4 linked regions of the Stegostoma tigrinum genome follow. The protein of the gene in region 4 binds, or shares a complex with, the protein of the main gene of each other region. Links are inferred from orthologs where the notes say so. Each region holds a gene or a part of one and is shown on either strand. Other genes may lie near its edges.

The links.
Region 1: exosc8 (region 4) and exosc2 share a complex: the UniProt entries of both Homo sapiens proteins name them as parts of the RNA exosome core complex. The link is inferred for Stegostoma tigrinum from reciprocal best matches to the Homo sapiens genes EXOSC8 and EXOSC2.
Region 2: exosc8 (region 4) and exosc6 share a complex: the UniProt entries of both Homo sapiens proteins name them as parts of the RNA exosome core complex. The link is inferred for Stegostoma tigrinum from reciprocal best matches to the Homo sapiens genes EXOSC8 and EXOSC6.
Region 3: exosc8 (region 4) and exosc1 share a complex: the UniProt entries of both Homo sapiens proteins name them as parts of the RNA exosome core complex. The link is inferred for Stegostoma tigrinum from reciprocal best matches to the Homo sapiens genes EXOSC8 and EXOSC1.

Annotation. Positions count from the first base shown.
Region 1 is NC_081382.1:41,692,230-41,699,141, reverse strand, and holds the start of exosc2 (exosome complex component RRP4), read left to right. Parts: upstream 1-3,906; 5' UTR 3,907-4,084; coding exon 4,085-4,200; intron 4,201-6,701; coding exon 6,702-6,803; intron 6,804-6,912. UniProt on the Homo sapiens protein: Non-catalytic component of the RNA exosome complex which has 3'->5' exoribonuclease activity and participates in a multitude of cellular RNA processing and degradation events.
Region 2 is NC_081369.1:4,854,569-4,862,314, reverse strand, and holds the start of exosc6 (exosome complex component MTR3), read left to right. Parts: upstream 1-4,737; 5' UTR 4,738-4,808; coding exon 4,809-5,107; intron 5,108-6,683; coding exon 6,684-7,215; 3' UTR 7,216-7,746. Other genes in the region: aars1 (alanine--tRNA ligase, cytoplasmic), read left to right, coding at 1,398-1,583. UniProt on the Homo sapiens protein: Non-catalytic component of the RNA exosome complex which has 3'->5' exoribonuclease activity and participates in a multitude of cellular RNA processing and degradation events.
Region 3 is NC_081373.1:12,450,499-12,458,175, forward strand, and holds the start of exosc1 (exosome complex component CSL4), read right to left. Parts: upstream 3,006-7,677; 5' UTR 2,931-3,005; coding exon 2,741-2,930; intron 1-2,740. UniProt on the Homo sapiens protein: Non-catalytic component of the RNA exosome complex which has 3'->5' exoribonuclease activity and participates in a multitude of cellular RNA processing and degradation events.
Region 4 is NC_081359.1:85,237,653-85,245,084, reverse strand, and holds the start of exosc8 (exosome complex component RRP43), read right to left. Parts: upstream 3,009-7,432; 5' UTR 2,813-3,008; coding exon 2,796-2,812; intron 1-2,795. Other genes in the region: alg5 (dolichyl-phosphate beta-glucosyltransferase), read left to right, coding at 5,698-5,763. UniProt on the Homo sapiens protein: Non-catalytic component of the RNA exosome complex which has 3'->5' exoribonuclease activity and participates in a multitude of cellular RNA processing and degradation events.

The sequences.
Region 1 (6,912 bases), on a different chromosome or scaffold from region 4:
GACTTCACCAGTTTCAAAATCTCCCCTTCCCCTACTGCATCCCTAAACCAGCCCAGTTCATCCCCTCCCCCCACTGCACCACACAACCAGCCCAGCTCTTCCCCCCCCACCCACTGCATCCCAAAACCAGTCCAACCTGTCTCTGCCTCCCTAACCTGTTCTTCCTCTCACCCATCCCTTCCTCCCACCCCAAGCCGCACCTCCATCTCCTACCTACTAACCTCATCCCACCTCCTTGACCTGTCCGTCTTCCCTGGACTGACCTATCCCCTCCCTACCTCCCCACCTACACTCTCTCCACCTATCTTCTTTACTCTCCATCTTCGGTCCGCCTCCCCCTCTCTCCCTATTTATTCCAGTTCCCTCTCCCCATCCCCCTCTCTGATGAAGGGTCTAGGCCCGAAACGTCAGCTTTTGTGCTCCTGAGATGCTGCTTGGCCTGCTGTGTTCATCCAGCCTCACATTTTATTGCCTTTACATTGTTGCTTTGCAAACAGTGGAGAAGAAGAGATTCCTCTCCACACACTATCAGGGTTTGTTTGCAAAGCAAGTTTAGCTAGCAACAGATTATTTATTCAGACCAGTTGAGGTCACCAGTTTAACAATGCTCTGTGATTGGATCCTGGGCAACTGAACAGTTGCCATGTGTGTAGTGGACAAGGTCAGAAGGCTCTGTCTTCATATCTCTGCAGTAAAATCATTCTAGTTATTTTCTTCCAAAAGTTGCAATGATTTGTTGCTTTTAACCAATAATACAAAGACTGTATCAATTGCCTGTGCCTCCTGCCACAAAGTGAAAGAAACTGAAAAAAGACCAGGCAGTAGACGGTATCTGGAAGAAAAAGGTTCACCTTACTGAGTCTTGTGAACTCGTGCTTTTTGAACTCTGCTTGTCTGTCGGATCTTTCCTCTGTGTTTAACATCAATTTTTTTGGGGGTCTGGCGACTGTTTTCTGTTGGCTTGAATCTGTCAGTCAGGTAAGTTGGGAACTGTACAGACTTTGATTAAATCTTTTCATGATGCCCTAAGGAATAGAGAGGCTCAAGCATCAGCACACTGTCCCAAGTGGGATGTAACACTTAATACACTATGTATCCTTAACTCAGTCACTAACTACATGGTTTAGAAGACACTTGGGGCATCCTGAGATTGTGCTATATAAATTAACATTTTAAAATATATACAGATGTATGGAAAAAGGGCTTTTGAATAGATAATCGTTTGCTAGCACAGATAATATTCCCATTTATATTTACATAAAAATACAAATTATGAGTTGTCATAGGCCATTCAGGCTGAGGGCCTAAATGATCTTCTCCTGTTCCTAGTTCATATGTATAAATGGGCCATACTGTCCGTAACATTGGAAGCAATGTAATGCCTGAAAGTATGATGGAAGCAGATTCAGTTGAGACATTCAAGAGACCATTGGATGATTATTTGGTTAGGAATAACTTGCAAGAATAGGCAAAAGAGCAGAAGATTGACATTAGGTAATAATATGCACTCGAGCTTGCATAGACACGATGGGCTGAATAGCCTCCACCTATGCCATTTGTGTTTTTTTGGCCAAACATTAATCCTCTTAAATGTTTGTCTGAGCTAACTAGTAACAATACTGTGTCAGGGAGATAGAATAACGGAAATAATTGTAATCTTACATACAAAATATACATACATTTGTCAACAGTAAATCATTGTAGCCTTGTTAATTGTGTCAGAAATCAATTACGAAAGGTATTTTGTAATATTAGGATTGAGTATCAATAAAGGATATTGCTGGAAAAGAGAAGCTTTTTGGATGTTTTTCAAATTGTCATCTTAGTCTTTTCCTCTATTCTTTGTGTAATAAACTTAAATTCTTTTTATCAAAGATACAATGGCAACCACTGGTGACTGACCACCATAGTAACAGAATTGTGAAAATAAGAAATGCAAACAGAAATTGCTAGAGAAATTCAGCAAGTCTTGCAGCAAAGTGTTGAGCTGGATGAACACAGCAGGCCAAGCAGCATTTCAGGAGCACAAAAGCTGACCTCGACCCTTCATCAGAAAAGGGGAATGGGGAGAGGGTTCTGAGATAAATAGGGAGAGAGGGGGAGGTGGACCGAAGGTGGATAGAGGTGAAGATAGGTGGAGAGGAGGCAGACAAATTAAAGGGGTGGGGATGGAGCCTGTAGAGGTGAGTATAGGTTGCAGCATCTTTGGGCAGGAAGCAGAGTTAACATTTTGAGAAGATTTGTAGCTCAGGTTGAGGTTCTGGATGTGAGTTTGCTCGCTGAGCTGGAAGGTTAGTTTTTCAGACGTTTCGTCACTATTCTAGGTAACATCATCAGTGAGCCTCTGATGAAGCGCTGGTGTTATGTCCCGCTTTCTATTTATCTGGTTAGGCTTCCTTGGGTTGGTGAATTAACGTTTTGGATCCAGTCACTGCCAGACCCGGTGAGTTTCTCCAGCAATTTCTGTTTGTGTTTCTGTTATCCAGCATCTGGAATTTTTTTTGAAAATGCGACATGGTCTATCAAGACAGATGTTACTCTGGAATTTGACTTGTCCAGTATTACCATGAACTGGTGCCTAAGCAGGCAGTAATCTAGCCAAATGGTGATAGTGAGGGCAACCAACGAAAACCACTATCCTACCCCTTCTGTGTTGCCCATGGTTTCCTCTTGTATTGACAAGTCATCACCTCCTAAGCAGTGCATTCCAGGTGTCCCTTCCCATGTCACCTTTACTTTTGCCAGCTATTGATAAAAGTAGAGGCATATGTATTTCAAAATTTGAGAAACATGTTTTTAAGAAGCCATATTGTTTGTTTAGACCTGTGCAAGTATTAGTGAAATAATATTCAGCCTTACTAGAAGTATGGTTTGGGACAGCATGGTGGCTCAACAGTTAGCATTATTACTTCACAAGTGCCAGGGACCCAAGTTCAATTCCAGCCCTTTGGGTGGCTCGTGTGTGGAGTTTGTGTCAGATGCTCCAGGTTGTTCCTACAGATCAAAGATTTGCAGCTTTAGGTGGACTGGCCATGTTTAACGTGGGGCGAACAAGGATAGGGTGGGCTGCTCTGCGGGTCGTTGCAGATTCATAGGGTCATAGTTCGTGCGATGGGCCGAATGGCCTCTTTCAGCGTTGTTGGGATTCTACGAAATAAGATTGACCAACAATAGATCCAGAACTAGTAAATCACTACGTGTGCTTTCATATTATTTAGTTATAGTTTAAGTTTGACAGTGTTTAAAATTTGTTTTGGGTTTAACTTTGGACTCAAAATGGCGGCACCCACCATTTCCAGAGACGGACATCGAGTTAACCAGAACCTTGTAAAACGCGTAAAAATACTGGCAACAATATGGTAACTATCTGATTTGTTACGTTGAAGAGCTAATTGATTCACCACACAACATCATAGAAAAGCGCGGGTCGATTCGTTATTAGGACGATATAACGGTGCAGAGACAGCCCGGAAACAAACATGGAGGCAAGGAGAAAGGAGCCAAACATCTGCCAATAACAAAGATGGTGACAGTTTCAGTCTGCCAGTAAGAAACATGGCGATAATCAATCACCACCCCCCCCAATCCCCAAAGACTTGTCGAATGCCTGTGTTAAAAATGGCGGAAGTAGAGCTGGCGTGTCTTGCCAGTGTTAAAGATGGCAGTTAACAGCTCAAAACTGCGGATGATGGAAGACTGAAATAAAAATTTAAAGGATTCTGTTAATCGGGGCTTGCAGCAGCTCTACAGTGATTGAGTTCAGTAAATGTGGTAAAAGCTGGATTTTGCAAACAATGCGAGAAATATTTGAGAGGTTTGACGAACACATGGAAGTGAAATGTTAATTCTGTGTATCTTTTCATGTTTCTTTTTTTGTTTATATCCGACTTTCAGCATCAGGTATTCAGTAACGTAGGATTCGCCGACGTGAAAGATATCGATGTGGTCATAACCACGGAAGGCTATTTGCCAATATTGAAGATGGCGGCTGCAATGATATTTGGCAGCTGATGCCCGTTCGCCATATCAAAGATGGCGGCAGTGGTTATAGGTGGCCGCCGCAGGCTGTACGCCAGTAACAAAGATGGCGGTGGACATTCGGTTACCGACGGCGCGAAAGCGTGTCTCTTTACCGGCTGAGGTCGGTAAACATCTGGTATCACCGGGAGACACCATCACCACCGACACCGGTTTCATGAGGTAAAACTAACACAAAAATGGGAGAACTTTTATATTTTAAATCAGGACGTTAACTCCAGAGGCAAGGAAATCCACGTGGGTAGACGGTGCGCATTCGGCCTATAAATTTAAATCTTTTTATCAACGGTCAGTGACTGAAACTCGTTCAAAGTCACATCTCCATAAATACTAGATGGTCGCCATCAGTGCAAACTCGATAGCCTGCATCGAAATGATCTTTGAGAAACCCAGCAGGCCTGTCAGCATCTCTGGAGATATGACCATTCGTTCAGAACATAAAATATTAATTCTGTTTTCTCTCTCAGCAGATGCTGTGAGACCTGCTGAGTTTCTCCAGCATTTTGCGTTTGTTCCAGATTTCCAATAGCTGCCTCATTCTTATTTACCACATCTGCCTCGTCTGTGTCTTAAAATAAGACTCTCCGCTGAATATACAAAAGGGAATGATAGTACTGGAAGCTTCCAAACAAGTATTAGAAAAGACAAAACAGAAGGTGAATCGTATTGGACTCAGTGTAACCTGTATAACCCTCTGCCAGGTTTCACCAGTTTTTATTTCAGATTTCCAACATTTGCAGTGGTTGCTAAAGCAATGTCATCCAGTGCCAGTCTCCTGCTTTTTCCCAATCTTGCATGTTATTTTATCTAAATAATTATTCAATGTTGTCTTAAGTGCATCAGCTGAACCATTCTCCACATTTCCAGTCTCTATGTTCCCTGTCCTGAGTATGCTCACTGAATTTTTTTTTTTCTTGACTTCCTTCTTGTTTCATTTGCAGGTTACTTTAAATTGATGCTCTCCTCTTCTTGTTCCTTTCAAAAGCAGAAACAGTTTCTCCCTATTTTACCCTCTTAAGCTTGTTCTTGATTTCAAAATCTCTATCAGATTGCATTTTAGCTGCCTTCTCTCTCTCTAAAACAGTTATAGCTTCACCAGTCTGTGCTCATTTACTGATATTCCTCATCGTCGGAAGCATTCTTGCAAGCCACTTATACGTTCTCTCCAATGTGTTCACATCTTTTCCTACATGTGGCAGCCAGAACTGTTCACAATACTCGAGCTGAGATCTAACAAGTGCCTTGTATACATTAACAGACAGACTTTAGAAAGAAGGCATAAAGATGACTTAGACTGGTGTCGTGCATATGGCTTTCTGCTTTCATTCTTCAAATCTGTGACTGTTTCATCACTAACTGGAACACAAAATAAATGCATTTATTAATAAAATAATTGGCACAGCAGCCAACACTTCTGTCTCTTGATGACAGGGATTCGGGTTCAATTTTAGCCTTGGGTGACTCTCTCTGGAGTTTGCATGTTTTGCTCTGTGGCTTTCTGTTGGGTGCTCCAGTTTCGTCCCACAGTCCAAAACTGTACAAGTTCGGTGGATTGACTAAATTACCCCACGGTGTCCGTGGATGTGCAGACTACGTGGATCAGCCATGATTCATACAACATTACAGGATAGGATGGGGAGGGCAGTGGGAATGCTGTTCAGAGGGTCAGTGTGGATTCTATGGGGCAAATGGCTTCTTTCCATCCTGTGGTGATTCTAGGAAACTTTAGGTTGGGGTGTTTTGAACCATCAGCAATCGAGGCTGGTAAATCTGCTGCCACAGCCGTACGACAACTTCAAAAGGGAATTTCCAATTGGGCTGTTTCGCAAGTATGCGCAATCTCGTAATGCTGGTGACATGCTTTTAACATATGTTGATTTTTGATAGTGTGCTCAAGTTTATCTTTGAAATAAAGATTTTCTTTCCCTTTAGAATTGCTATATTAGGAGATATGGGGAGGAAAATAGCCACCACATGTCTTTATGGTGTTTGTGCTCTGATTCTTACTTGCACTCTACCTGCCAGTTTTGAATGCAGTGTTTGGAGACTTGGCTCAAGGCCAGCCTCCTGTAACCTTCCTTTTCAAGTAATCCTGCTTGTTTCAACAAATCTATTAAGGTGAATTTTTATGCACTGCCCGTTTGCCAGCATTGCACATTTTAGTTCTTATTGACCCCATGCAACACTCAGTTGCTGAAGTACATCAGTTTTTTTTTGTGAAAACAACCAATGAATAAAACCAAGTCCTTCACTTTGCATCCCAACTGTATTGCCACAACTCCATCTTTTTAGTGTAACATAATACTGAGAGCATCAATTCGCCACATGGCAAGTGACAGATGTATTGGAAACTGTGGCCAATAAAGCTTATGAAACAGGTTCATTGGGATAGGGTGAAGACTTCCTAAGTGGACATGATCTTCAAAATTAAGACCAAGGCCTTGGAAATTAGGAAACATAAATACAGCAGAAGGTTGGCCAGCTAATAGCTCTAAATCTGAGATTGATTTATTCTATTCAAAAGATACAGTGGTGAGAGAAATAGACAAAAGTTCACATTCAGCACCGAACTCTCTCTTTGAAGAGTTGTAGGTTTCCATTAGCCTGCCTTGAGTGGGTAACTTTTGTGTATCCTAATACAGTATATATTATGTCTGTTCCAGAGGCCATGGTACCTATATGGAAGATGAGAAGCTAATTGCGTCAGTTGCTGGAGCTGTGGAAAGAGTGAACAAGTTGATATGTGTCAAACCACTTCAAACCAGGCATGTCCTTAACACTTACTGTCTGTGCATTTGGTCATCGAACAATGAGTAAATTTTATAGAAATGGTTTGATTCCATTTCATAACCAGTAGTTGTATTAAGGTTTGAA
Region 2 (7,746 bases), on a different chromosome or scaffold from region 4:
ACTTGGGTAATAGTACATTCTATTCTGTCATCCAAGTCATTAAAATATAATTGTAAATAATTGTGGCCCCAGCAGTGAAACCTTTGGCAGTCCACTAGTTACAAGTTAACATCTCAAAATTGTCCCCTTAATTACAGCTGTTTGTCTTCTGTGAGTTAGCCAGTCATGTATCAATGCTATTACACTACCCACAACCCCATGAGCCCTGATCAAGCAGCTCTGTGTGACGCTCATTATTGAGTGCCTTTTGGAAACCTAAACATATTACATTTACTGGTTCCCCTTTAACTACCCTACTTGTTAACCTCTTCACAGAATTCTAATAGAGTTGCCAGCAGTTGCCCTGCTGACTCTACTTGATAGATTCTAACATTTTCCTGGTTAGAGACACTATTCTAACTTTCTTAAAGTTACTTTTTTCTCATCTCCCTTTTTAAACAATGGTGTCACTTTCCAATCCTCTGGGACTTTTCCAGAATAAAGATTGTTATTAGATTACTACCAAGGCATCTACTATCTCTGATTACTTCCCTCACATCTTAAGGTACAACCCAAAGGATTTATTGGCTTCCATCACATTGTTTTCCCTAGTAGTTTATTTTTCTCTTTTTTTATTCTTCTTTTATTCTTCCCTCAGCCTTTGAACGTTTAATAATTGAGGACGTCAGTGTTAAGAAGAGAAACGCAGAGAGGTTTAGGGCAAGCATTGCAATGTTACAGCAGATGAAGGCATGACTGCCAGTGATGGAAGTGACCAACGATAGGGAGGCCAGGACTGGAGGAATGAGATGAACTTGGCTCAGTGTCTGGGTGTTTGAGAGCAACGATTCATTGTTTGACAATATTGTTAATCTCCACTTGAAGGCTGTGGCAGTAATGATTCTGTGCCCCTTGATACTTCATCGCAGGAGTTACTCCTCATCCTTCAGTGAGTTTCAGTAGACTGATCCACCATGAGGTTTGTAACATTCAAGCCCAGTCTGGTCATCATCTGCCCTGCACCCGTTCTCTGTACGTGACCCAACAGGGACCAATGATCAGCCGTCAAAGACAGAGTTTAACCTTTGTTGATCATAAGGAGCTGATTTCAGTTGTTGCATCCCAGCTACGTGTTTCCTGAGACCCTGGTAATATAGGACTTAGGAATTGGTGTAGGCCTTTCAGTCTTGCTGTGCCATTCACTGGCTGTTATGACATCTGCAGCATATCAGGTATTGAACCTGTGATGTATAAGTCTCAGTCCCTCACTGTGCCACTTTTACAGTCAGGCCAGTGGGGGAGGCATCGCCTCAAAGTCCGAACATTGTACGTTGTGGAAAGCCCATCTTAAAAGCAGCAGGGTTACTGAATTTTCATTTTGCACTATTTCTCCCTTTTTCATTACAAACCTTTTTCAGGAGGTGGTGAGCAGGGGCCTGAAAGCCAGTGACTGGGTCAACCATATCTTGGACCTGCTGGACGGAAGAGGAGGAGGAAAGGACGTGTCAGCCCAGGCCACTGGGAAAAACGTCAACAGCCTTGACAAGGCGCTAAAGCTGGCAACCGAGTTCGCTGAGCTGAAAATAGGAGACCTCAAAAACTAATCACAAACGTTGCAGTTAATGTCACTTGAAAGACCGTCCATGGGGCCGGGACTCTTCTGCTGCAGGGGTTTAGGACCACTACTGCTGAGAGGTGGTGAGGGAGGGGGTTGTCACATTCTCCTCCATGTTAATGTTAAAAGCGTGAACTTCTGTCTCACTAAGTCAGTAGAACAGCTTAGCAATCGATCATCTCTAAAATCTTCAAACTGTTGCAATAAGGGACTGGCTGTAAGAAAATCTGTTAGCCTATTTAAAACGGCTCTAATTCATTAAAAGGATTTGCACCCGTAAGCTTAAAATAATACTGGTGTTGTACTGGTTACAGATTTGGAGTATGCTATTTATTTTCAGATTCAGATCAATTGTCTCTTGTTCGCTGCCTCATGATGATGCTGTCATTACCTAGTCATATGTAACCATTGTTCAAGACAGTGTAAACAATAAAACCTCTTCATTACGTGAACGAGACATTGCAATCATGTTTTTGACTCTTGGACTTCTGTAATCTCCTTAGCTGTCGATTGATTCACATCCTGGTGAAACACAACCAATTCCCATTATCTCTGATCACCAATTAGAAGTTGATTTATTCAACGTTATGTGTGAACATAAATACGAACACTTATTGTAAATCCCACCCATTTTCAACTTTAGTCACTAACTCTCCTTCAAATATAAAAAAACCCCAAAGATTCACACTGTCCCTGTTGGAAGTTGATTTTCACTTCATTGATGAGTTCTTCCTTCAAACCTGGTCAGACTGGTCTACAGGGGTCTAACCACTATAAAATCAGAATAATGGAAATATGCAGCAGTTTACAAAACACGTGGAGAGAGAAACTATTAATGTTTCACATCACACACAGCAGATGATCATCATTCCTTTGACTTTCTACTTGATTTGCTCAGTACTTGCAGCATTTTTTGTGTTATTTTCAGATTTACTTCTGCAGAAATGATTTCTGTTGTCTAACATTGAAGTCATACATAAGTGGTACCATTTTATGAACTATTTTGTCTTACACATCTCCCAGTATTTCCGTCCAGTGGATTTAACCCCAAGCAAGCAAAACGTGACAGTAGCGTTTTAATATAAACGATTCCAGTGGTTCATTAGACAAAGTTTTGAATTCCAACACATGATAGTCATTCAGTTAATATCCAGTTCACTCTTTACTGTTTCTAACTGTTCCAATGTTCTGTCATTGCTATGACCAGCAACACAGCAGTGGCAACACTCTGATGTTGTGGGTCATGTTGGAACCAATAATGTAGACAAAAGTTGAGGTCCTATCAAAGATATCCTGGAGTTAGGAGATTAAAGAATAAGACCTCAATAGTGGTAATCTGTATTACATTTAGTAGAACAGAGAGGTGAGACAGGCTAACTTGTGGATGGTGAAATTGGGCTGGAGGGCAAGGCTTCAGAATTTGAGGTGTTGGGGCCACAGGACAGTCAACCTTGATTCTGATGTTTCACCCAATATTGGATATAATAGTAAATGGAGAGGAGGGTTACTGAAACCTTCAGGATGCCACAGACCGGTGAAATAAACAAGACACTGGGAAGATGAAATTTTAATGCTCCCAGTGTGAGCCTGAGCAGACAACTCTTTGAAGTGGACAGGAATATTCCAAAAACCTGCTTTTGAAAAAAAATACATAAAATCTTGGTGGTGTCCTTTGGTGCTTCACAAATTGATGGAGGACTCCCCAAGAACAGATGGTAAGCTTATCCCTGCTGGTTCTAGACATTTTGCGATAGGAAATAATTTTTCTGCATGTATTTATATTAACAAGTTGTCCCTCAGTAGCTTCATCTTTTAATTAGACAACGGGAGGAAATTCTCTGAATGGGAGGCAAAGGTGGGAAGCAATTGCCGATGTTGGTTTGAGTAAATCCAGGGAATTATTTGTGGATAAGAACAGGAATTTGATTTCCAGATATTGGGGTACGAGGAACAAATTGTTGAGGATTTATGATGAGAAAGTTGGAACAGAAACGGACAATGTTGTGGATGTGAAATCAAGGACCTTGTTATCGAAGGGGATTGAAGCTCAACTCTAGATCAAGAACAATGCTGAAATTATTCTCAAACTGGAGGCGATAAATGGAATCCGTGGCAAATGTTACTTAACGTTCAGCAAGAACTAAAAGAGGACATCACTCTTCCAACGTTGGGAAAAATTCCTGAGTTGTACATGACCTTAGATTGGCAGGCCATTTGACAGCACCAAGGTGGTGGAAAAGAGAGAATCTTGGACCCTCTTCCTCCTCATCACTCATACTCGAGGATGATGCCAATAAAAAATTACATGTAAATGAAGAAAGGGTGCATCCCAAAGGAGACACCATTGTATACAGTACAGGTTAAAGGTAAAGTTGCCATAGTCCTACCAGGCCATAGGATTGCTCAATTGTTGGTGTTTTAAGCTTGAGGGTCACCATGCCTGAGGTGTGTAGAATGGTTGAGAAGGGGTCCTTTGTTGTAACCTCAACCAGCATAGGATTGAATCCACACTGTTGGTATCGCTCTATCACAAACCAGCCGTCGAGCCCAAGTGAGATTAGTAACCAGATAACTACAGGGTCGCACAGTGGTTAGCATTTCTGGCTCACAGCAGCAGAGCCATCGGTTCGATTCCAGCCTTGGGTGACTGCCTGTATGCACTTTGCGTGTTCTCCCTATGTCCCCATGTTTAATAACCAGCTAATCTTTTTCAGCGATTCATATTGACCGGGACTTTGGGCAACATGCCCCGACTCTTGCTTCTGCGTTTCCTACTGCCACCTTAAAGAACAAATAGCTCTGAAGGGCCAGTGTTAAATTGCGTTCAAATCTCAGGATTACAGCTTGGTACATGTGGCAATAATAAATCAAATTACTCCCCTAGCAAGGCTCTGCTTGTCACACACTGCTGCATTGGTTTTTTCCCCCCTGGTGGTGGAATATTGATAAATTTGGCTACAGAACCCATGTTTTTCGATGCGACCTGCACGCACAGACGACTCAAACCAAATCATTGCAATCTGGAAGAGAACTTGCACACTTTGCTGAAAGCCGGTAGGGGGTGGTATGGAGCATGAGGGCCTGCGGATGGTCCTCCCGGACTGCAGGGGGCGGTGTTGGGGGAGGGCAGTAGGTGGGAGCATCTTACGACGGGCGCTGCCTCGTTGTGCGCGGCCTGGTCGAGGCTCCGGAGCTTGGAGCGAGTCGGTACCAGATGCCGGTCGACACCAAGCGAGTCCGGGGCCCGGAGGAGTCGCAGTCGCCGCTGCTGTTTGTGGCGGGAGATGCGGCTCCGAGCACGGTGCCGGGGCGGGCCCGGGTTCGGGCTGATGGGCGGTCGGCGGCTGAGCCGAGGCCGGTGTTTGCTCGGGCCGGCCTGGTGAGTCAGGCGGACGGCTCGGTGTACGTCGAGTGCGGCCTCACCAAGGTGCTGTGCGCCGTTTACGGGCCCCGGGAGAGCGACAGGAAGGAGGAGCGGCGCCTGAGCGGGGCGACCCTGGGCTGCGAGTTCAGGTAGGGGCCGGGGCCGGGGGCGGGAAGGGTCTTAAAGCACCAACACCAACCCCCCGTGAAACCAAGGGCAAGCGGAGATGATGTAGAGACCCCTGGTGCTCGGAGTAAAGTCTCCTGTGATTTTGGAAAGGTGGGCGTGTAGGTTATCAGTGTGTGTCAGGTCAGCTCTGACTGGGGAGAGGGGAGGGTTCCCAGTCCTATCCCTGGCTGCTGGATTTAGTGAAGTGAATTGTGGAAACACAGGCTGATCCTGTGACTTGAAGCTGGAAGGATGGTGGGGAAATGTGTTGATCGTCAACAGAAGAAGCACAGCGCATTCCAGATCACAGCAGCTCACAAATAATGAACCTGGTCCTCAACCCAGCTCCGATTCCTGGTGGAGCTGCTGGCGTTGGGCTGGAGTGAACAAAGGTGGAATGGCAATGTAGACAGTGGGTGCCTACCTCCGCTCAGCTCGCAACAAACAACTGCACCTCCCAGTTGCAAACCATTTCCACTCCCCCTCCCATTCTTTAGATGACATGTCCATCATGGGCCTCCTGCACTGCCACACTGATGCCACCCGAAGGTTGCAGGAACAGCAACTCATATTCCGCCTGGGAACCCTGCAGCCCAATGGTATCAATGTGGACTTCACCAGCTTCAAAATCTCCCCTTCCCCTACTGCATCCCTAAACCAACCCAGTTCGTCCCCTCCCCCCACTGCACCACACAACCAGCCCAGCTCTTCCCCCCCACCCACTGCATCCCAAAACCAGTCCAACCTGTCTCTGCCTCCCAAACCGGTTCTTCCTCTCACCCATCCCTTCCTCCCACCCCAAGCCGCACCCGCAGCTACCTACTAACCTCATCCCACCTCCTTGACCTGTCCGTCTTCCCTGGACTGACCTATCCCCTCCCTACCTCCCCACCTACACTCTCTCCACCTATCTTCTTTACTCTCCATCTTCGGTCCGCCTCCCCCTCTCTCCCTATTTATTCCAGTTCCCTCTCTCCATCCCCCTCTCTGATGAAGGGTCTAGGCCCGAAACGTCAGCTTTTGTGCTCCTGAGATGCTGCTTGGCCTGCTGTGTTCATCCAGCCTCACATTTTATTATCTTGGAATTCTCCAGCATCTGCAGTTCCCATTATCCCTAGACAGTGGGTGTCACTGGCAAGGTAAGAATTAGTTGCCCATCCCTAATTGCTCGTAAAACGGTGGATTGCCTGACCATTCAGAGGGCAGTTAAGAATTGGCCACACTTTTGTAGTCTGGATAGCCTCAATTTTAATTTATTAACATTCCATTCCCTGTGATCCTTGGTTTGTAGCTGATACTCCAACCTGAGCCATTTACTTGGCAGTTTTTGTCACTCTTTGCTGCTGACTTTCATTCTCAGGTTTAGGACGACAAAGTCAATCCCAAACCTACCTCAGATGGAACAGAAATTGAACCTGCGCTGTTGGACATTTCTCTGAACCACCTCACCGACATTTAACCAACTGTGCTAACCTATTCCTCTTTTGAAATATCACGTGAATGAATTCATAGGATTGTTTTTCTTCCCTACCACGCCCCCCCCCCCCACCCTTGTAGATTTGCCCCATTCTCTTGCAGGAAGAGAGCTGCCTGGATTCAGGGCACCTTGGAGAAGGAGTATTCTTTGATCATGGAACAGAGCTTGCAGCCAGCTATCTGCCTCCACAAGTACCCCAGGTCCCAGATCGAAGTGTACGTGATGGTTCTGGAGAATGATGGCTCCACCTTAGCAGCTGCGCTGACTTGTGCTTCCATAGCACTGGCAGAAGCAGGCATCGAGATGTTTGACGTGGTGGTGGGCTGCTCTTTGAGGCAGTGTGGAGCTGTCTCCCTTCTGGATCCAACAGCAGCTGAGGAGTACAGTGCAGCCTGCTCGCAGGCCGTAAACAATGGCAGCTTGACTGTGGCTCTGCTGCCCACACTCAATCAAATCTCCGGGCTGGTCTCGAAAGGAGAGTGGGAGGAGCAGACATCAGTAGAAGCAATCAAGGCTTGTATTGAGGGATGTCAGAAGCTCTACTCTGTAGTCCAACAGTGTCTGACCAAATCAGTCAAGAGGAAAATCCCACAGCTTGTCAGTAAAGATTAGATGAACTTTTGTTCTTGGACATTCCAGTAAATGCTTTCTTGAAAAATAAATGTTTTTTTACTGTTCCATTTACTACATTTTATACAAGTTGCAGAATATCCTTTGTTAACATTTAACTAAAATTGAACCACCACACGGTATTGGATTGAAGTGTGAGGTTCAGCTCTGTCTATGCTGAGTTGCCTGATCTGTGGTGCTGCTGAAGTTCAGCTTCAGTGCAGGAAGGTATAATTGGGCCAGGGTTCCTGGAGCTGATTGTCCAGTCTCTCCTGTTGGATGTGTGGGACGCTGGGCCTCAATTCCCTGCTGTCTGGTCTTGAGCAGTCTGGGTGGAGTTGTGCTGCAGTAAAACTTGATCTCTGGGTGAAGTAGAGAGAATAAATGCAATTCAAGCTAAAGTGGTATGGGACTTTGCCCTCGCTGCTTATTTTTTGCCCTGCCACAGTATTTATTTCAGTACTTCCTCACTGAGCAGATTTCAACTCTGAGGGCCTAAGGATTACACAGTGCAGTCTGTCTGGGATCAATCAA
Region 3 (7,677 bases), on a different chromosome or scaffold from region 4:
TGTAACTTGTTACAAAAATACATTGAAAAGTGGCACCACTCTCTGGGAGCATCTTAAAACAAATAAAAAACCAAACCATAGAATATAAAGGCAGAAAAATGAGAACAAAAAGTGTCTAACTTACAAGGAGATAGCAAGAACTGCAGATGCTGGAGTCAAAGGCAACACAGTGTGGAGTTGGAGGAACACAGCAGGCCAGGGAGCAACGGGGAGCAGGAAAGGTGACATTTTGGGTCAGAACCTTTCTTCAGAAAACTCTCCTTTGAGCTGCTTGACCTGCTGTGTTCCTCCAGCTCCACACTATATTGTCTAATTTATAGTCCTTCTTGTTAAGTGCTTTAACATGGGCCATGGGCCTGGTGACCAGGCACCTCCTTCACCGTGCTGCCACTGCTGCACCAAACGACGCCACTCTTTGGCACCATTTCACCTCCAGCAATGGCACTGCCAAGATGAATCCTAACTGGGCCTTGCCAATAAGGATGCCACCAATGCCTCCCTTTATGCATTGACCTGAACTTGACTCAGCTGCCACCTTGAGTCTGCGTCGACCCACCTCAACATGCAGCTGCTGCCGTCAGGTCTCATGCTGGGCCCAATTCACCTCTGCCGCAGCAGTCATGAATCAGCACTAGGAGCGCCTCCACAATGCACAAGATGCGGGAACACAAACTCGCCTCCAACATTGCTGCCATCAGTCCATACTGCTGGGCCAACCCGTCAGCAATGCTGTTACTGAGCCCAAGCTCTTCAGCAAAAGGGAAATAAGATAAAACTAAAGAGTAAAAAAGAAACAAAAGAGAGAGAAAGAAGACAAAAAAAATGGGAAAGCAGACGGTGTGGATGAACCCTGGGCTCAGAAGCCCTTCTCTTGCATAATCTTACTGGAAGACACAATAATAGGATTCTTACGTAGCTTGACATGGTAAATGCCAACTGGATGTTTTCCCTCATGAGTCTAGGATGAGAAAGCATAGTCACAGGATAAAGAGGCACCAATTTAAGACTGAGACAAGGAGAAATTTCTTTTAGTAGAGGGTTGAGTGTCTTTGGAATTCCCTGCCATAAACAGCTGTGGGGGCAGAGTCCTAGTCACAGTCATGCAGCATGGCAAGAGACCCTTCAGTCTAACCAGTCCACATTGACCATGTTCCCAAACTAAACTAGACCCACCTGCATGTACTTGGCCCTTAACTCTCTGAACTTTTCTTAATCTTATCCAAATGTCTTTTCAATGTTGTAACTATATCTGCAGGTCTAGGCCCAAAATGTCAGCTTTTGTGCTCCTAAGATGCTGCTTGGCCTGCTGTGTTCATCCAGCCCCAAATTTTGTTATCTTACATCCTCTGGCACTTCATTTCACACACAAACAACTCTGTGAATTAAGCTGCCCCTCACGTTCTTTTTAAAACTTTCTCCTCTCACCTCAAAAATATGCTCCCTAATTTTAAAATCCTCCACACTAGGGAAAACAACTTTGCTATTCACCTTACCTTTGTCCCTTAACTATCCTGTATACCTGTGATGCAAATTTCAAAGAATTATATACCTGAATCCCAAGGTCTCCTTGTTCTACAGCACTACCCAGGAGCCCTACCATTAATTGAATAAGTCTTGCCCTTGTTTGTTTTACTAAAATGCAATACCTTGCAGTTATCCAAATTAAACTACATCTGTCACTCCTCAGCCCATTGGCCCAATTGATCAAGATCTCTTTGTAATCTTAGATAACCTTTTCCTCTGTCCATTATGCCACTAATTTTGGTGCCATCCACTAACTTACTAACCATGCCTCCTATATTCTCACCCAAATCATTTATACAAATGTCAAACAAAAGTGGACCCAGTACCAATCCCTGTCGAACCCGTGATCACAAGCATCCAGACCAAAAAAACAACCCTCCACACCACTGTCCATTTCCTACGTTCAATTTTGTATCCAATTGGCAAGTACACCCTGAATTCCATGTGATTCAACTTTACTGATTAGTTTACCATGTGGAATCATATCAAAGGCCTTACTAAAGTCAAAGTAAACAATGTCTACTGCTCTTCCTTGATTAATCTTTCTGATTACTTCCTCAAAAAAAATCAAGTTTGTGAGATGTGATTTCCCTTGCACAAAGCTATGCTCACTCTTCCTGATCATTCACTACCTCTGCAAATGCATGTAAATCCTACTTTTCAGAATCACCTCTAACAACTTACTGGTCTCAAACACGGGTCTATAATTTCCTGGCTTTTCCTTGCAGCCTTTCTTAAATAACGGCAAAACGTTAACCTCCCCCCACTCCTCAGGCACCTCACCTGTGGTTATACATGAGACAAATATTTCTGCTAGGGAGCCCACAATTTCCTCCTCAACTTCCTACAACGTTCTGGGATACGCTTGATCAGATCCCGAAGGCTTATCCACATTTACGTTTTCTAGGACCTACAGCACTTCCTCATCTGTAATGTGAACTGTTTTCAAAAGATCAACATTTATTTCCCTGAGTTCACTAACGTCCATTTCTCAATCCACAGTAAAAACGGTGTATATTTAAGGTTGAGACAGATAGACTTTTGATTAGTAGGGAAAGGATCATTATGGGAATAGAGCAGGCAAGTAGACAGGAGGTGTGTGGGATCAGCCACGATCCTTACGAACGGCGAAGCAAGCTCGAGAGGTCGAAAGGCCTACTCTGTTCCTACTTCTTACACATCCCATCCCTGCTCCGCTCTTGAAGTCTGCCGGTACCTGGGATGCAGAGCTTCAGCGGCGCCATCACAGCTTCACAGAACCGGGGAGAACACGCTGTCGCAGACCCTCGTAGTAAGGGGCGAACGGATTGGCTCGCGCGGACACTGGTAGTAAAGGACGAGCGGATTGGCTGAGGTTGGTTGCTAGGGCCGGGACGGATTCGCGACATCAAATCTCTTCGCCTCATGGCTCTCTCCGGCTTTTATCCTGTTCTCTCTGGGCTTGGTTCAGGATCTCCTCCATACTCCCGTCCCTAACCCGGGTCGGGATCCTGCCCTCGGGTCTTCAATCTCGTCTCCCTGAATTCCCCGGCCCCGAGGCCTTCCCTCCTCATCCCCCCCGTCACAACCCTCCAGTACTGACCTCTCTGTCTCTCCCTGGCTGCTCCTCGTCTGAGAGAAAACAACGAAACTCTCAGCTGACTATGATGTTCATCTCCATTTGTGTCTATTGCTTTATTTGTCAAAGTTTAATACAGTTCACATTGGTCCCCGTACTGTTTCATTTCCATCCAGCACCAGATAAAACAGTGTGGGCTGGCGGGACGTAAACCTCTGAGCAATATCATAGGAAAGTCCTGAGGTTAATATTGTTGAGTAGCTGAAAATTCATTTCAATTCGAGTTTGAAAAAAATGTATCTAAACTAGCACAGGGAAAGTAAGAATTAACAGGCGCTGGAGAGGGGATTTATGATTAAGGGCAAAGAATTGTTTTTTGTTTACTCATCTCTATTTTAAAGTCAATAGTATCAAAGTAAAGTTAAAAGAAGGAAACTAAAGTTTTAGCAAGTAAAATTTCTTAAAAGTATAGGTTAAGATTATGGCAGGACAGATCAGCCAAGTGGAATATGCATGCTGTTGCATGTGTGGACATTCTAAATGACCTTGATGAGCCCATGTGGAGGAAGTGGGGCCACTGCAAGCTTGAGCTCCAGGTTTCAGTGCTCGCAGTGGCTATGGCAGTCTTAGGGAGACAGGCAAAAAGATCCCAAGATCTGCAGATGCTGGTGTCAGAGTCAACACAGTATGGAACTGGAGGCCCACGACATGTCAGGTAGCACCAGAGGAGTAGGAAAGTCGACATTTTGGGTTGGGACCCTTCTTCAGAGCAGTTCCGAAGAAGGATCCTGACTGCTTGAAGGGTTTACGCAGGGGAGTGGGAACCAGCAGAGAACGTTAGAAGGAAATGGCAGAGTACAAAAAGATGCTGGGGGAGGCAGATTGTGTGAGAATAGAAGTAATATGTGGAGTCAACATAATGGAGATGGTAGTGAACCGTAAATTAGGGTTGCTCTGCATGTACGTGCATGGACTGAGTATGGTGAATAAGATTGGGAAGTTACAGGCACATATTTCCATGGTAGATTGTGAAAGTAAAATATTGGAGATCTGGCTCAAGGAAACATAGAAGATAGGAAAAGGAGGAACCCATTCAGCCCTTCGAGCTTGCTCTGCCATCCATCACGATCATGGTTGATCATTCAACTGATCGCCTAATCCTGCTTTCTCTCCATAACCTATGATCCCATTCGCCCCAAGTGCTATATTTACCTGCCTCTTGAATACCTTAAATATTTTAGCATTGGCTATTTCCTGTGGTAATGAATTCCACACGCTCACCACTCTTTGGGTGTAGAAATGTCTCCTCATCTCTGTCCTCAATGGTCTACCTCAAATCAAGACTGTAACCCCTGGATCTGGACACACCCACCATCAGGAGCATTGTCCCTGCTTCTACCCTGTCAAGTCCTGTTAGAATTTTATTAGTCTCTATTGAGATCCCTCTTCATTCATCTGAACTCCAGTGAAAATAATCATAACTTAGTCAATCTCTCCTCATATATCAGACCCAACATCCCCAGAATCAGCTTGGTAAACCTTTGCTGTATTCCTCGAGAGCGAGAGCATCCTTCCTCAGAATCGGCGACCAAAACTGCACACAATATTCTAGTTGTGGCCTCACCAAGGCCCAGTATAACTGCAACAACACATCCCTGCTCCTGTACTTGAAACCTCTTTCAACGAAGGCCAACTTCCCATTTGCCTTCTTTACAATCTGCTGCACTTGCATGCTTGTCTTCAGTGACAAGATGCACAAGGACACCCAGGTCCTGCTGCACACTCCCCTCTCAATTTTCAGCCATTTAGGTAGTAATCTGCCTTCTTGTTTTTACATCCAAAGTGAACAACCTCACATTTATTCAAATTATTCTGCATTTTCCATTCATTTGCCCACTCACCGAACTTGTCCAGATCATGCTGGAGGATCTCTGCATCCTCCTCACAGTTCACCCTCCCACCCAACTTGGTATCGTCTGCAAACTTGGAGATATTACATTTTGTTCCTTTATCCAAATCATTAATATATATTGTGAATAGCTGGGATCCCAGCACTAATCCCTGCAACACCCAGCTAGTTACTGCCTGCCAACCTATCTTCTCCTCTATCCATCTTCAATCGCCTCCCCCTCTCTCCCCATTTATTTCAGAACCCTCTCCCCATCCCCTTTTCTGATGAAGGGTCTAGGCCCGAAACGTAAAAGCTTTTGTGCTCCTAAGATGCTGCTTGGCATACTGTGTTCATCCAGCTCCACACTTTGTTCTCTCAGATCCTCCAGCATCTGCAGTTCCCATTATCTCATTAATTCCTACTGTTTGTTTCCTCTCTGTCAACCTGTTTTCTATCCATCTTAATACACTTCTGCCAATCCCGTGCACATTAATCTTAAACATACAACATTGACTGCCCCCCACCTTGTCAACCCTACTAGTTACATCTTCATAGAATTTCAACAGATTTGCATGACTTCCCTTTCATAAATCTATACTGACTCTGTCCAATTCTGCTACTGCTTTCTAAATGCTCTGCTATAAAGTCCTTAATAATGGATTTGAGAATTTTCCCCACTATAGATGTTAGGCTTCCTGATCTATAATTTCCTGTTTTCTTCTCTACCTCCCTTTTTGATTACTGGAGTGACCTATGGCTCCCCTGCAATCTGCAGGGACTGTTCCAGAGTTTGAAGAATCCTGGAAGATGCCATCAATGCATCCATTATTTCTAGAAAGGGATGGTCTGGGTGCTAAATGTTCTTGGTTACAAGGTATACAAAAAGATTGAAAATATTTAAAAATAAGGGAATATGGAGTCTTTTTCTTAAGGAGAGTCTTGCAATATAGGAGAAGGAGGACATTTCAGAATGTTCAGGGATGGAATTGATTCAGGTGGAACTAAAGAATAAGAAGAGTGCAGTTACGTTGCCCGCTGTGAGCCGTAGACCACTAACTAGTGGGAAGGATCTAGAGTCATAGAGATATACAGCACTGAAGCAGGCCCTGCGGTCCTACTCATCCATGCTGACAAGATATCCTAAATATATCTAGTCTCATTTGCCAGCATTTGGCTCACATCCCTGTAAACCCTTCCAATTCATATACCCATCCAGATAGATTTAAATGTGGTAATTGTACCACTTCCTCTGGCAGCTCATTCCATACATGCAGTACCCTCTGCATAAAAAAGTTTCCCATGAGGTCCCTTTTAAATCTTTCCCCTCTCACCTTAAAGCTATGCCCTCTAGTTTTGGACTCCTCCCACCCCAAGGAAAAGACCTTGTCTATTTACCCTGTCCATTGCCCTCATGATTTTATAAATCTCCATAAGGCCACACCTCAGCCTCCAATGCTCCAGAGGAAAAAGCCCCTGTCCATTCAGCTCTCCCTACAGCTCAAACTCTCCAACCCTGGCAAATGGCTTAAAAATCTCGAGAGAGAAAAATCTGCAAGGACATTGCAGAAATGTATAAGCATAGTTGAATAGCCATTATGGGGGACTTTAATTACCTTTAATGGTTGGACTAGAAACATAGAAAGTAGGAGCAGGAGTAGGCCATTCGAGCCCTTGAGCTTGCTCCACCATTCATCAAGCTCAATACCCTATTCTTCCTGTCTCCTGATATCACTTGATTTCTTCAGCCACAAAAATTCTATCTATCTCCTTGAAATGTTTTCCTCAATCACCTTCTGGGGGTAGTGAAATCCACAGGTGCCTTTCTCTTTGGGTGAAGAAATTTCTCTTTATTTCAGTCCTAAAAGTGTTACACCTTATTCCTAAATGATGACCCCTAGTTATGGACCCCCTACCATCAGGAACATCCTGCATTAAACCCAACTAATTCCATTAGAATTTTATAGGTGTGTATGAGAAATCCCCTCATTGTTCTCAACCAAAGTGAATACGACCTAACTGATTTAATCTCTCCACATGCATCACCTTGCCATCCAAGGAATCAGTTTGGTAAACCATTCCTGCTCCCTCTATAGCATGAACATTCTTCCTCAGAAAAGAAGACCAAAACTGAACACAATATTCCAGGTATGGACTCACCAATGCCCTGTATAATTGCAGCAAGATATTCTTGTTCCTGTATTTGAATTCTCTCATTGTGAAGGCCAAATATATTTTGTCTTCTTTCCTGCGCTTGCACACTTACTTAGGCAACTGGTACACAAAGATATACAGATTTCGTTGAATATTTCCCTCTCTCAATTTACAGCCATTCAAGTAATAATGTGCTTTTATATACTTACTGCCAAAGTAGGTAGCCTCACATTTACCCACACTATGTTGCATTTGCCCAGTCACTCAGCCTTTCAAAATCATACTGCAACATTTTTGCATCCTCCTCGTGGGTCACATTTTCACCCAGTTATGTGTCACCTATACATTTTGAGATTTTACATTTAATTGCCTCATCTAAATTATTAACTGGTATTGTGAATAGCTGGTGTCCTAGTCCAAAGCTCTGTGGCCCCCATTATTCATTCAGAAAAGGACCTATTTGCATAAAGGGTAGTGAGGCACAGAAGTTCTTAGATTGCGATCAGGAGAATTTCCTAGATCAGTATGTTTAGTCCAAGAAGCATGATGGCAA
Region 4 (7,432 bases):
TGTCTCTCTCTCTCTCTCTCTCTCTCCCCCCATTCTCTCTCTCTCCCCCCCATTCTCTCTCTCTCTCCCCCCCATTCTCTCTCTCTCCCCACCATTCTCTCTCTCTCTCCCCCCCATTCTCTCTCTCTCCCCACCATTCTCTCTCACTCTCTCTCTCCCCCCCATTCTCTCTCTCTCTCTCTCCCCCATTCTCTCTCTCTCTCTCCCCCCCCCATTCTCTCTCTCTCTCTCTCCCCCCCATTGTCTCTCTCTCTCTCTCCCCCCATTGTCTCTCTCTCTCTCTCCCCCCATTGTCTCTCTCTCTCTCCCCCCCATTGTCTCTCTCTCCCCCCCATTGTCTCTCTCTCTCTCTCTCTCTCTCTCTCTCCCCCCCATTGTCTCTCTCTCGCTCCCCCCCATTCTCTCTCTCTCCCCCCCATTCTCTCTCTCTCCCCCCCATTCTTTCTCTCTCCCCCCATTGTCTCTCTCTCTCTCTCCCCCCATCGTCTCTCTCTCTCTCCCCCATTCTCTCTCTCTCTCTCCCCCCATTCTCTCTCTCTCTCCCCCCATTCTCTCTCTCTCTCCCCCCATTCTCTCTCTCTCTCCCCCCATTCTCTCTCTCTCTCCCCCCATTCTCTCTCTCTCTCCCCCCATTCTCTCTCTCTCCCCCCATTCTCTCTCTCTCTCCCCCCATTCTCTCTCTCTCTCCCCCCATTCTCTCTCTCTCTCCCCCCATTCTCTCTCTCTCCCCCCATTGTCTCTCTCTCTCCCCATTGTCTCTCTCTCTCTCTCCCCCATTGTCTCTCTCTCTCTCCCCCTATTGTCTCTCTCTCTCTCTCCCCCCCATTGTCTCTCTCTCTCTCTCCCCCATTGTCTCTCTCTCTCTCTCTCTCTCCCCCCATTGTCTCTCTCTCCCCCATTGTCTCTCTCTCTCTCTCCCCCCATTGTCTCTCTCACCCCCCCATTGTCTCTCTCTCTCTCTCTCCCCATTCTCTCTCTCTCTCCCCCCCCATTGTCTCTCTCTCTCTCTCTCCCCCATTCTCTCTCTCTCTCCCCCCCCATTGTCTCTCTCTCTCTCTCCCCCATTCTCTCTCTCTCTCCCCCCCCATTGTCTCTCTCTCTCTCTCTCCCCCCATTGTCTCTCTCTCCCCCATTGTCTCTCTCTCCCCCATTGTCTCTCTCTCCCCCCATTGTCTCTCTCTCCCCCCATTGTCTCTCTCTCCCCCCATTGTCTCTCTCTCTCCCCCCATTGTCTCTCTCTCCCCCCATTGTCTCTCTCTCTCCCCCCCCATTGTCTCTCTCTCTCCCCCATTGTGTCTCTCTCTCCGTCTCTCCCCCATTGTGTCTCTCTCCCCCTATTGTCTCTCTCTCTCTCTCTCCCCCCCATTCTCTCTCTCTCTCCCCCCATTGTCTCTCTCTCCCCCCATTGTCTCTCTCTCTCCCCCCCCATTGTCTCTCTCTCTCCCCCATTGTGTCTCTCTCTCCGTCTCTCCCCCATTGTGTCTCTCTCCCCCTATTGTCTCTCTCTCTCTCTCTCCCCCCCATTCTCTCTCTCTCTCCCCCCATTGTCTCTCACTCTCTCCCCCCCATTGTCTGTCTCTCTCTCCCCCCCATTGTCTGTCTCTCTCTCTCTCCCCCCATTGTCTGTCTCTCTCTCTCTCCCCCCATTGTCTGTCTCTCTCTCTCTCCCCCCATTGTCTGTCTCTCTCTCTCTCCCCCCATTGTCTGTCTCTCTCTCTCTCCCCCCATTGTCTGTCTCTCTCTCTCTCTCCCCCCCATTGTCTGTCTCTCTCTCTCTCTCCCCCCCATTGTCTCTCTCTCTCTCTCTCTCCCCCCCATTGTCTCTCTCTCTCTCTCTCCCCTCCTTTGTCTCTCTCTCTCTCTCTCCCCCCATCTCTCTTTCTCTCTACCCCCATTGTCTCTCTTCCCCCCAATCGTTTCTCTCTCCCCCCGTTGTCTCTCTTTCTCTCTCTCCCCCCGTTGTCTCTCTCTCTCTACCCCCTATTGTCTCTCACTCTCTCCCCCCCATTGTCTCTCACTCTCCCCCCCCATTGTCTCTCACTCTCCCCCCCCATTGTCTCTCTCTCTCTACCCCCTGTGGTCTCTCACTCTCCCCCCCATTCTCTCTCTCTCTCCCCCCATTGTCTCTCACTCTCCCCCCCATTGTCTCTCACACTCCCCCCCATTGTCTCTCACTCTCCCCCCCATTGTCTCTCACTCTCTCCCCCCCATTGTCTCTCTCTCTCCCCCCATTGTCTCTCTCTCTCCCCCCCATTGTCTCTCACTCTCTCCCCCCATTGTCTCTCACTCTCCCCACACCATTGTCTCTCGCTCTCTCCCCCCCATTGTCTCTCACTCTCCCCCCACCATTGTCTCTCGCTCTCTCCCCCCCATTGTCTCTCGCTCTCTCCCCCCATTGTCTCTCGCTCTCTCCCCCCCCATTGTCTCTCGCTCTCTCCCCCCCATTGTCTCTCGCTCTCTCCCCCCCATTATCTCTCACTCTCTCCCCCCCATTGTCTGTCTCTCTCTCTCTCTTCTCCCCCCCCCCATTGTCTCTCTCTCTTCTCCCCCCCCATTGTCTCTCTCTCTTCTCCCCCCCCCATTGTCTCTCTCTCTTCTCCCCCCCCCCATTGTCTCTCTCTCTTTCCCCCCCGTCCGTCTCTTTCTCTCCCCCTCCATTGTCTCTCTTTCCCTCTCCCCCCATTGTCTCTCTCTGTCTTCCCCCCTCCCCCCATTGATTGATTGATTGATTGATTGATTGTTTGTTTTTTTTTTCTGTTTCTGTGTGTGTCTCTCTCTCCCTGTCTCTCACTCACTTGAATCCAGCCGCCATCCTTCTCGGTCTCTCTGAACCATGTGAACCTGGGAACTGGATTCGCAGATTCCGCGGAGAGGCCGGAACGGTTGTGAGCCTCTTTCCCTCATTGGACTACGCTGTATTTTTCCCTGCTTCGACTCCTGTAATCCCCGCTCTGTCTACGGCCAATCCCTTTCATGGGGTTTATTTTCTTATTTTTAGTTTAGTGTGGAATGTGCAGAACGGAAATGAAAGCCATGTGGCTGGTTGGTGCAGCATGATGATTGACAGCTGCAATCCGCATCTTCAGGAAACAATGTCTTACAGCTCGCATTCACCAGTCTGTATACATCTCATTGGCTTTTAAAATATACTGCATATCTAATTATGATTAAATTATACATTGTATTATTTCTAAAAATATAAATTTATAATATATCCTTTATAATGTATATTTTATAATACCTAATATTTTAAAGAGTCGGTGGTAATATAACTCACGAAGAATTCTCCAAATGTAGTCATGAATTGCGCTAAAAGTGTTACAGGTAATGCTGACAAATCATCTCAGTCCCAAGATATCTCTACAGGACTTCTTCAGGTAGTGTCCTGAGCCCAACTACCTTTAGCAACTTTTATCAAATACCATTCCTCCCACATATGGTCAAAGTGGAGTTGGTCCCTGGTGACTGCATGATATCATTTGAAATCGGACATGAATTGAATTGAATTAGGTTTTTGTCACATTACTCTCATGAGTACAATGAAAAATTTACAAGTATCCACATAAAGCACCATTTTAGGTACAAACGTACAAAGGTACCAACTCTTGGGTATAAAGCAGAAAAATATGAAAAACAAAGTTATAAAGTTAAACATTGCAGTTCTTCATGCTAAAAAGGGATGAGGAAACAAAGAAACATGTTAACAGTTCAACACCACGGTCCACAAGTACCTGGCCATGCTGGACTCACACTCCCCACAATGGCTTGACCCCCGCCCCCGGCTCTGAACACCCATTCTCACCCCTCGCCACCTGCTTCTGCTGTCGACCCCAGCCTCTTTTGGCTGCCTGCTCTAGGAGATGGATGTTGCAGGTTTTGAAAGTACAGTTGATGGAACCTTGGCAAATTGTAGCAGTGCGTCACATAAACGCTGCTGCCACTGTGTGACAGTGATGGAAGGATTGACTGTTTAAGGCAATAAACAAATTTTAAAATGTATAAAGCAATACCATTTATAAACAAACATTCCACACATCTAACTCTTATTAATATTGTTGTTTGAGTTGCTAACCAAGAATGTTGGTGTTACGGTCATTGGATCTCACTATTATTTTGGCTTACCATTGACCAGAAACTGAACTCTACATATTTTGCTACAAGAGCAGATCAGAGCCTTGGAATTTTGCAGTAAAGTATCCACCAAATCCTCAGGCCAGTCCACCATTCGTCAGCCTCAAGTCAGGGGTGTGATGGAATATTCTCAATGTTTCCTTCACCGTTGCTGGAATGAAATCCTGAAAGTTCCTCTGTAACGGATTTGTGGATGTACTGGTTGCATGATCTGCAGCAGTTTAAGGTGACATCTGGTCACCACCTTTTCGAGGGTAACTTTGGAAACACAATAAATGCTGGATTGTTGGTGACACTTATATGAAATAACAATAGTACAAAGCTATACCCTTTGTAAACAAATATTCCACACATCCAAGCTTACAAAGTGAAAAATGCAGGTACTACATTGTTGTTTGAGGGAATAACTTTGGCATTAACATGTGGAGTGGATGATGCCCGAATATTGTTTATGTCAATTTAAGAGCATTTGGAACGAGTTGAGCAGTTCTTTAAAGTTTCAACTCATCAGGAGTACCTTCCTGGGCATTTTATTACCGTATGTAGTGTAGCTACAGCATATGGGAGCTGGCAGATACCAATGTGACCCATATATCCATATCCTCAGGTGTTGCCTGCAACGTGAGGATATCAGTTGTCTGGAACTTAAAACTTAAAACAGATAACAAGAGTGTTTAAAAATATGCAAAAAGGAAGACTAACTTAAAATAAATATTGGCTCTTGGTCCCTTAGAAACAAAGAAGGAAAAAATATCATGGGAAATGAGGAAATGGCAAAGAAAAATATTTTGTCTCAGTTTTCTCTCTGGAAGACACCAGTTACAAGCAGAAATAGTAGGAATTGCAGATGCTGGAGAATCCAAGATAACAGGGTGTGGATAATAAAGTGTGAAGCTGGATGAACACAGCAGGCCAAGCAGCATCAAAGGAGCAGAAAGGCTGACGTTTCGGGTCGACGACACTAATCTGAAGAAGGGTCTCGACCCGAAACGTCACCCCTTCCTGCTCCTATGATGCTGCTTGGCCTGCTGTGTTCATCCAGCTCTACACCTTGTTATCTTACGAGCAGAAATAATGGGAGGTGAGGAACAGATGCAGAAGGAAAAAGGAGACTGGCACAGGGGATCTGAAATAGAGTTGATGCTTCCTAGGGGAATGGACGGACACAGGGAGCTGGGAAAAAGGGAAGTCCAAGGTCAGCAACGATCACACCGACAGACCCGCGCTGCATATGGATTCCTCCTGCTCCGCTCACTTCTTCACCTCTTCGCCCAAGGTATGGGAGCCTAAAAGGAGGGCACGGGTTTAAGGTCAGAGGGGAGAGATACAAAAGGATGCAAAGGGGCAGACCAGTCCTGTCACAGAGAGGGCGGTTGGGAGGCTGGAACCAAGCTGCCAGGGGTGGCGCTACAGTGAGAAGAGCCGTCGAGTTTGGGAGCCTCTTGCTGCCTGTAGCACCCTCGTCGATTCCGGCCGCGGGGTGCTGGCTTCCGCTTCGGTGTCCCGCTGCCATAGGCTCGCGAGGTTGTTAGGGTGGAAGCCGCTGGCGGTTATCGACCCCGGGTCATGGAGCTCCATTCCGGCGAAGTGCTGCAGGCAGTAGTCGGTGTCGCCCTCACGGTCTTGCTCCTGGTGAGTGTGCTCCCTGTGACGATTCACCCCTCTGCTGGCAGCTTCAGCTGTTTGTTGCCGAGAGACATCTCCCGGGGATCAGGATGTGGAATTGTTATAAATGAAGATGAGAAGCACTGGGGGAAAGAAAAGTACCAGTGGGAGAGGTCCACAGGCCCTGTCAGAGTCACCACAATGTGGAATAAAGTATATAAAAGGAATAGCGGGAGCTTGCGACAAAGAGCCAGCAATAATCTGTGTATCTGTGGGGGGAGGGTGGGGGCGAATATCAGTGATAATGGGAACTGCAGATGCTGGAGAATCCAAGATAACAAAGTGTGGAGCTGGATGAACACAGCAGGCCGAGCAGGAAAGCTGATGTTTCGGTCTGGACCCTTCTTCAGAAATGCATGTCAGCCTTCCTGTTCCTCTGCTGCCTGGCCTGCTGTGTTCATCCAGCTCCACACCTTGTTACTTCAGACTCCAGCGTCGGCAGGTCCTACTATCTCTCACTGGCGAGAATATCCTGGATGAGGAGCTTCTAGAATGCTTTTGAGATTAGTTCCAGAACTTACTGCTGTAGCAGCCAAGAGAACAAAAACACAACAAAAACCAAAAGAACTGCAGATGTTGTATATCACGAACAAAAAGAAAGTTGCTGGAAAAGCTCAACAGGTCTGGCAGTATCTGTGAAGAAGGAAAAAAAATAACATGTAACTGATGGTTCTGAGGAAGGGTCACTGGACTCGAAACGTTAACTCTGTTTTCTCCTCCACAGATGCTGCCAGACCTGCTGAGCTTTTCCAGCAACTTTTGTTTTTGAACAAAAACAGAAGTTGCTGGAAAGGCTCAGCTGGTCTGGCAGTATCTGAAGAAGAAAAAAAATTAACATTTCAGGTCCAATGACCTTTTCTCAGAATGGGAACTCTGTTTTTATATTATGTTGGATTAGCTATTGTGTAAGAGAATGCCTCCTGTAGGAGCAGTGACCACAAACTGGTTGAAGTTTTACATCCTGTGTGAAAGAGAGAGGATTGGATCTCAGGCTAGTATTTTGAATTTAAAGTCAATTGTGTGAGTATGACATCCCAGCTTGCTGAAGTGAACTGAGGTATTTGACTAGGGGATTGGTCAATCGAAGAGGACTTGCAAACATCTACGGGGATATTTCCAAATACTGAAACATATTCCTACCAAAATGTAAATTTCCAAGGGAAGGATGCATAGCACTATTAGGGGAGGAAGCTTCAGGATTTTTTTACCTAAATTATTTTATAGAGACATTGAAATTATGATAATTGAATCCCTACAGTGCAGAAACAGGCCCTTCGGTCCAAGAAGTCCACACTGACCCTCTGAGCATTCCACCCAGTCTACACATCCCTGAACCCTACAGGCAATTTAGCCTGACCAATCCACCTAGTCTGCACATCTTTGGACTGTGGGAGGAAAGCAGAACACCCAGAGGAAACCCATGCAGAACGTGCAAACCCCAAACAAACAGTTGCCTGAGGGTGAAATCAAACCTGGGTTCCTAGTGCTGTGAGGCAGCAGTGCTAACAACTGAGCCACCATTTTGGCCTAAAATGAGAATGAATGCTGAATAGTCACCAGCGATGTAAATAGAGCTTTCAGCTGGAGTGGATTCAAAATCACCATTAATGATACAGGGCAATTATCAGCTTGGTCA